2 linked regions of the Rattus norvegicus genome follow. The protein of the gene in region 2 purifies or fractionates together with the protein of the main gene of each other region. This does not show direct contact. Links are inferred from orthologs where the notes say so. Each region holds a gene or a part of one and is shown on either strand. Other genes may lie near its edges. The genes, in order: Cab39 and Stradb.

Region 1 (3,814 bases), about 26 Mb from region 2:
ACCATGGGCTAGACCTAAATAAAAAGGAAAAGTGAGCTGAGCACTCTGCTTCCTGATGTCCTCTCCTTCCACCAGGACATCCTCCCAGACCCTCCAACTGTGACCACAAAGTTAACCCTTTCTTCTTTAAGTTGCTTTTACTACTTTAGTTTAGCAACAGGAAAAATAATGCAACATCTAATATCTATTTTGAGTTAATAACAATGTTAAACAATATATTCAAGGCTTATTCAAGTCAGCAGCTAGACCACCCATGCATTAAAATAACGGCACTGGCTTTCCCCACAGACTGTATCTGGGATTTTGAAATCACCACTGTGGAGAGTTCTATTTTATGGAAGAAAATGTTTAATTAGAAGAAGCAATACCAGAATCAGTAAACTGATTCATTCATTCATCCATCCATCCATCCATCCATCCATCCATCCATCCATCCATCCATCCATCCATCCCTGTCTATTTACTTGAGACAGAGACTTGCTATGCAGCCCCAGCTGGCATTGAACTCATGGAGATCCACCATGCCCAGCTAGAGCTTTTTTTTTTTCTTTTTTAAAGTGGGCAGATTAGCTATTATAGAATAGTACAAAGCAAGAGATTTATCTATGAAATTCAGTTTGCAGAAAAGTCCATTTTAAACAAAATCATTTTGTTAAAATCAAGGAAATACAAAAGCTGGGCACTGGACTGTACAAAGTGTGTAGAAGTGCCGAGGCTGTGAAATGGCCTGCATCACACATGCGGTGCAGATGCAGAGGAGCCGAGCTGTGTGTGAGGAGACAGAAGGGCCTCGGAGGGCAGGAAGGCGCGGGGCCAATGACTGAAGTGGGGTTGTGGCTAGGGAAGGCTTGCTGTCTTTTTTTATGGTCAAATGTTCAGTTTCCCAACCAAGTGTGGTGGGAGGAGGGTAGTGCATCCCCAAGCCAAGCTTCATTCTTGGGCTTTTCCTTCTTATCCCCTTGGCTGAGGATTCTGCTCTGACCAGGTCAGAGTTTATACTTTATTTCTCAAAAATCTTACTTATTTCAGCTTCCAGTGACAGCACATGCTTCTAATACTATCATTCAGAAATGAAGTGTAGTGGATCTTTTGAGTTCAAGACCAGCAAGAGTTACATAATGAGACCCTATCTTAACGTTTTTTTTTTAATTTTATGCATCATCTAAAAAAATATTTACATCAAAGCTGCCATGAAATGGAAGTGTTAGTTATTTTTAGACTTCAATAGACCTTTGGTTTCTATAGCAAAGGGAATTCTGGTCTGTATCACACTGTTCTAAGAACACTCAAAATCCAGACTATTCACATGGCATGTTTCCACAGGGACACTGGACTGACACAACAAAAGTTCTGTACAGCAACAGGTGAAGAAGCATCACGGATGGGTAGGAATGGAGAGGAGGAAGCAGGATGCTGCCATGTTACGGGCTCATGCTTTGTCTAAACAAGTCTGAACTTGGAGCCAAAGTGTTAAACCACAGAGATACAAATCCAAATGAGGTAATGTATGAAGCTGGCGGTAGGGGAGCAAGGTAGTTCATACCAGCGGTCACTGCAGTGGGCAAACACGCTGGGATGATATCAAGAAGTGCCAAGCAGCAGTAGTGTGGAGGTGACTGACCGACTACCTTGCCAGCTGGGTTGGCTCAGTGCTGAGAAAGAAGAGGGTCTTTTCACTTTTGTTAATTTAGATCTAAGTTTTGATTTTGTTTCTGAAACAGACAACTACCCAAATCATAAACACCTGCTTAGTCTAGAAGTAACTCCAGGAAGATGTGTAGTGACCAGCAGCACATGCTTTGCTGAACGAGGGTGAGAAGCATGCATGCCCCACAAGGAGGCTCTCACTGCTGTGTGAGGGCTGAGGTGAGGTGAGGTGAGGTGAGGTGAGGTGAGGGGAGGTGAGGAGAGGTGGGGTGAGGGGAGGGGAGGTGAGGGGAGGTGAGGGGAGGTGAGGAGAGGTGAGGTGAGGTGAGGGGAGGTGAGGAGAGGGGAGGTGAGGTGAGGGGAGGTGAGGTAAGGTGAGGTGAGGGGAGGGGAAGGGAGGTGAGGTGAGGTGAGGTGAGGGGAGGGGAGGGGAGGGGAGCGGAGGGGAGGGGAGGGGAGCGGAGGGGAGGGGAGGGGAGATGAGGTGCAGAGGAAGCCTCTTTGGACCCAATTAGCCTGGGATCTCAATGATTTTGCTATTACAGAACTGACATTAGGCCTCTCTGGCTCTATTTCTTCCCTTCAGTTGCATGTGATTAGTGAACTTAAAGGCTCTCACAATCCACCCGGTTTCCAGCTTGCATCTGCAGGGCGTTTTGTGTTAGTTTAGCTTCCAGGCTAAGACGTTAAGAGGGCAGTATATGCAAGAGCTACACAAAAGTGAGCTAAAACTACAGAGAATATCTTCCCATGTACCAATCTGGTTATCCTTCCCCACCCAAACAATTTTTCTTTTTCTTTTCAACTAAGAATATAAACTTTATCACATTGTACATACCCTTTCAATAACATGAACAAAATATTCTGTTGGGTGCAGATGTATTCAACAGTAGGAGTTCTTGTACCAATTTGTCTTCTGAGAATATTGTTGAAAATTTGAGCCACGTCTTTTTTGCCCTATTAGGAATACAATCATTAAAATATTTACCTGTCTAAATATGAAAATGTCCATCCACCCTTCAATATAAAGTCAAAGAGCCATTGTGTATTAGTTATGACTGGATATCTGACTTTGCAACATTTGTAGACATTAAACTTCTAATTTTATCTAATTTTATAATCACAATTTCTTAGATTTAATAGTGTACAATTTTAAAACAATTTTATCAACAAAACGAAATCTCATTATTAACCACCTCTAACTCTCAGAAGCATGCTGACTCAGTTACGGAAAACAGATGTTGGAAGCATACTTACAATCTACAGGGATAGGAACCTTACGCAAGTGGATACTTCTGTTGTGAACACTACAGTGTACACACTTTTACAGAGCGGAAAGGGAGGAGATTGTACTCTCAGTGTAATGACATTAGAGGATTTCTGGCAAGTAGATAAACTCCTCTATGAACTCACTTGGCTAGGAAAGACTTAAATATATATTAAATATAAAGCACTAAGGACTACAGTAGTAGTATTACAGTAGTTCAGAGATGAGAGCTTTACACACAGTACAGACAAATCACCAGTGAACCTCAACACTCAGAAAGCTGCCCAAGAAATTAATAATAGACAACAGGCCCCCAAGAGATGTTTCAGAATAGATACTATCACAAGGCTGACAAAGCCCGGAGAGCACTGGAGCCCACAGACAAATCATCCTGGGGCTTGTGCTGGCTCAGGTGCAGTAATGGTAATGTCTACAAATCAGTCTCATGGCACACACTTAAAAAACCAATGCCTCTAAAGTTTCAGATGAATATTAAATTCAGTGTTCAGTTGAGAAAACAAAATAGGTGGAGACAGAGAAGGATCAGATATATCCCAAATGCACCTTTCAAGTTAACAGAGAAACAAACCATTAGAATTTGACACACTATTAAAAACACACAAAATCAGCTGTATAAATGGAAATATCTTGTTCTATCTTCTTTATAACAAGCCAAAAATGTTTATTTTCCTTTAAGAATTATTGAAGTAGCCATCCCTTCTTCTAACTCTATCACACCTCTCTCCACCAAAACCCACAGATAATATCTAACTGCTCAGGCAGACGAACATGAATGAGACTTAGAGCATATTCATGAAGTTACTTATGACCATGTAAATAGAGAACTTGGGGTATATGCTTCTCAGGCAGGAATCAAGGCCATTATAACTCACTATACAC
Region 2 (4,345 bases):
AACTAGCACTAGGAAACAATATGAACATTCTTCTTAACCATTCTTTTTAGCCCGATTCATAACTTTGAGGCAAAGCAGGTCTGGATATAAACCTCGACTTGTTATATAAAGGCTTCCGAGTCTCACATTCTGAGCAACTGATGAGCAATGTACGTGATTAAATGAACATGTACATCACATAAGTAAAAATGGGATGATTAAAAAGAGTCTTTCACATAGGTATGTATGTATGTCTGAGACTTGCCACATACTACTTAGTTTTAAAAATAGAAAGCCAGATAGTTGCTGAGATGATACGGTATCTTTAATTTTGCCCTTCCCCACCACCAAATGTCCTTCACAATGTGTTTTCAAGTGTCATGTCATCGCCATTAATATGCTATTTGGAGCTCACTGTAGCTCAGACTTTTAATAGGGCAGCAAAGATTTGAAAGGTCACAAACATTTTTACTAAGATAGAGCAAGAACTCTGATTCCAGCTCATTTTCTTCTGTGGCCCATGTAAGCCAGGTGAATTTACAACGAAAAATTACCATCTTTCCTGATGCAGAAAAAGATGCATAAGCAGGTAACTGACTTTACTGCCATAATTGTGATTTTTTTTTTTTTTAAGGGTTTGGGACTCAAACGTGCTGGCACTGGAAAGCACGCCTGCCAATATTCACTCTTTTTTCACTTCAACCTAAAGTCTGTCTTTCTGTCTTTCTTTCTTTCTTTCTGTCTTTCTTTTTTTCCTTTAAAAGACAAGTGGCGTCTGGTTCCAGATCAATTGCAAAGAAAAGCCCAATAAAGAAAGAGCTCTTTCTAGTGTCCTCTCCTCCCATTTGCATCACAGATGGCCACCGAGAGCTTAAGGTTTAACGTCCAGACACTAAAGCCACTCATCCTAAAACGACAGAGCTCCAGATGGACGTTGTCTGGCAAAGAATGAGATGCTGCCAATCTTTAGAGGTGCAGATAGGGTGACTCCCGGAGGCTTGAGCCCTGCTCCCATCGCTTTGCACCTACACTTGGGAAACATCCCTTTCCCATCTCGGAGCGGGACCCTCCCGTGAGTGACCTCTGGGGACCAGAGAGACGCGGGACAGAAAAGCTTCTCTGCCTTCGGGAGAAGTTGACAAGGGCAAGTTCGAATCGCACGCGGGAGCTTACTCACGGGAATGGCCCGGCGTCCTCGCTCCAACGCCCGCACTCGCTCAGAAAGAAGCCCCTAATGCTGCGGCAGCCTGAGAGCAGCAGCTGAAGCTACCACTGCTGCAGCTAACCCCCGGGCGTGGCAGGAACTGGTAGGCGCCCTCACATCATCACAGGGCGACCTTGGAGCTGCAGTGACGCCGGTTCAATGGCAGCCCCCACCCAGCTAGGGAAGCTAAAAGGAGACCCATTCTCCCAACAGCCTCTGCGGCCCTAGCGCACAGCCCTCTGGGAACTGTAGTTTCCTTTCCGTCCCGCCTACAGCTGGAGGGCTCCGCCTCCTCACTACCGAGCTAGAAGCTGGAGGCGCGGTGGGGCGGAGCGGCGGGTCCCGACCCCGCTGGGGTGGGGCGAATCCCGTCCCAGCCGGTTGCCCCGGACTAGGGCAGAGGTCCAGGCCGACAGGCCTTCTGCGGCGGTGCTGCACTTCTGTGCCTTGAGGCTCGCCCTGGAAGCAGGCCTAGTGTTCTCGCCTCGCCGCTCCGCGAGGCAGGTCCCGGGTCTCGCGCGTGTCGCCTCCCCCCAGCGCCCGCCGCCTGGAGAGTCGCTGGCCTTGATCGCTGCCTAGGTAATGAAGGGAGGCAGGCGGGCAGGGGCTGGTGCGGAGATCCCGGGGAGCGACCGGGATCGCAGTTGGGTGGGTGCACGGCGAAAAGGCCAATCCTCGCCGCCGCTCCTCACCGGAGTTGACACGGCCGGCCGAGCACTGGCAGGAGTCTGCGGGAATCCCACTCCCGCTGTGCGTGCCAGCGCACCGGGGCCGAGGCTCCCGGGTGCCCAGCGGCTGTGCCAGGTGCAGGAGCCCAGCCACAGCCGTCCTGCTCCCCCAGCTCTTACCTTTGGTGGCACACACAGGCCTGGCGACTTCCCAAGCCGAAGACACTCTCTGTCACCAGCCCTGTCTGCTCGGAGACTTCGAAGGGACTAAATTAATTGTCTAGGCGTCGTTTTGTCTTCAGTGTTTACATTTGATGTCGTGTTTTCCCCTCGTGGGTTTGTTTTGTCAAATACCTTTCCTCCAAATTTGATCACAATTTGTGACAGCATCTACATAACACAGTGCTTGGCACTCTGTAAATATTTGTTGAAACCATGAGTCATGATACTAAGTTTGGAAAATTGTATTGAGCTGTGTGCATCGCTATGATCTTTGTTCAGGTTTTATGAGATTTCAAGATCACCTTGAGAATTATCGTAATTTTGAAACCTAACAAAGTATTGGTAGGTTTTTTTGTTTTTGTTTTCGTTTTTGTTAGCATTTCCTGTAACACTAGACCATTGAATACCTAGATTAACTCAAAACCCAAGCCCGTTTGGTGTCCCTTTAAAGTGTTAGCCTTTCAAATGAAAAGGCTTTGGGCATGACTTCTATATTATGCAACAAATTAGATTATAAATAAAGCTTTTTGTGGTTAGCTTTTTAGGTACAATTGCAAGGGCTACACTGAGACTGAGGCACTTACCAGTAGGTTTAGGAATACAGTCTTCAGGGGTTGGGGATTTAGCTCAGTGGTAGAGCGCTTGCCTAACAAGCACAAGGTCCTGGGTTCGGTCCCCAGCTCCAAAAAATAGGAAAGAAAAAAAAAAAAGGAATACAGTCTTCATATATATACACATTTATGAATACATACATATACACACATATTTTAAAGATGGGGTCTCACTATGTTGGTATCCTAGCTGGCTTAGAACTTACAAAGATCAGTGTGCTTCTGTCTCTGCCTCCTGAATGGTGGAATTAAAGGCATGCTCCACCAAGCCTCAGCAAGCTTTTTTTATTTTTTTAATTTATTTTTAAAGATTTATATAATCTTAGCATAATAGCAAAACCTAGGAGCAAATCTTTATTCAACTCCTTTGCCAGGTACAACTGCTGCCTTGATCTCAAATGTCTTGAGAAATTACCTGTTAATAGTGTGGTATACCGAAGGTAAAACTTCTGGGATTAAACCTACCCACTGGTGATAACAGCCCTAGGAGACTGTGACCTGATTTTTTTTTTTTTCAAATTGGTTTATTGTTTAAAACAACACACTCAATAACAACTTGCTGGTGCAGAATCTCGGTAACCACAAAAATTAAGTTAATCACCAGACCTTTCTGCCTCAGGTAGTCAGCCCCAGGAAGTTGGGCCTGGGGTTAATTACATGTGTGTGTTGGCAGGTTGGGGGTGGGTGCTGGGGGGGTGTCTTCTGAGCTCACCAGCAAGCCTATCCCATAGTGGCTATTCATTAACTGTGTTAATACAAACTTTCCCTGTGTGGTTTCTTTCCTTATTTGGGTATCACCTTAGAATAGATTAATAAAAGTGAGCTTTTACTGGGTCAAAAGCTGTGGATATTTTCACTGTTATTCAGAAGTCCCCAGCTTGCTTTTCCTATGAGCCTCAATATTTTATCTTAAAGTGTTTCACTTGTCTTGTTGTTGTTGTTTTTTGTTTGTTGAGACAGTTCCCTTATGTATCCGTGGCTGTCATGGAATTAGCTCTGTAGACCAGGCTAGCCTTGAATTCTGCCTCCCGAGTTCTGGGATTAAAGGCATGTGCTACCACCGCCCCACTGCACTTGTCTTTTATATCCTAGAGTGTATATAAAATGTCATACACTCCTTTGACCTCAGTCGCCCTGGAGGATAGGCAGCATTGGCATTTCTTTCCTCATCTCATAACCAGACCACCAAGCCCCATGCCTTAAGTTGTCCTTAATTCTTGGCAGGTGACAAGAGTAAATTTTCCAGTTCTTTTCCTTCTTCTACCTTTGGCTTATAGAGATTGTCCTGAGAAAATCTACTTCTTCCTTCAAGCAAGAAAACTGGGTAGTACTTTATAACATCCATGGTCTATAAATCTTCCTTTCCTCATTGCGTTTAGCTATGAGTGAATGCCTAGATCAAGTGTGTGCCGACTCAGATGAAGCAGTGAAGCCAGTTTGAGTGTTGGTGTGAAGGAGGAGACAAACACCACTAGTAAATACTTCCCCCTCCATTGAAAAAGACCCAGAAGATTTGGGTGCTTGGTCTGTAACTCCGTGAAGCTGAAGAAGTTACCATGCTAAAATTCTGAATCTATCAATGAAAATGGATGAGTTGTTTGCATAATAAAATGCATAACTTGTGTCTGTCAATAGTTGAGAATGTAAGTTTTACGTGAAAA

What was found.
Region 1: the proteins of Stradb (region 2) and Cab39 purify together in Homo sapiens (affinity purification with mass spectrometry; 3 studies listed by BioGRID and IntAct, counting the BioPlex papers as one, with this or other methods). This does not show direct contact. The link is inferred for Rattus norvegicus from reciprocal best matches to the Homo sapiens genes STRADB and CAB39.

The regions. Positions count from the first base shown.
Region 1 is NC_086027.1:93,955,859-93,959,672, reverse strand, and holds part of Cab39 (calcium-binding protein 39), read right to left. Parts: intron 2,605-3,814; coding exon 2,486-2,604; intron 1,867-2,485; exon of another isoform or gene 1,722-1,866; intron 1,501-1,721; exon of another isoform or gene 1-1,500. UniProt on the Homo sapiens protein: Component of a complex that binds and activates STK11/LKB1. In the complex, required to stabilize the interaction between CAB39/MO25 (CAB39/MO25alpha or CAB39L/MO25beta) and STK11/LKB1.
Region 2 is NC_086027.1:67,906,831-67,911,175, forward strand, and holds the start of Stradb (STE20-related kinase adapter protein beta), read left to right. Parts: upstream 1-1,491; 5' UTR 1,492-1,762; intron 1,763-2,031; exon of another isoform or gene 2,032-2,956; intron 2,957-4,345. UniProt on the Homo sapiens protein: Pseudokinase which, in complex with CAB39/MO25 (CAB39/MO25alpha or CAB39L/MO25beta), binds to and activates STK11/LKB1.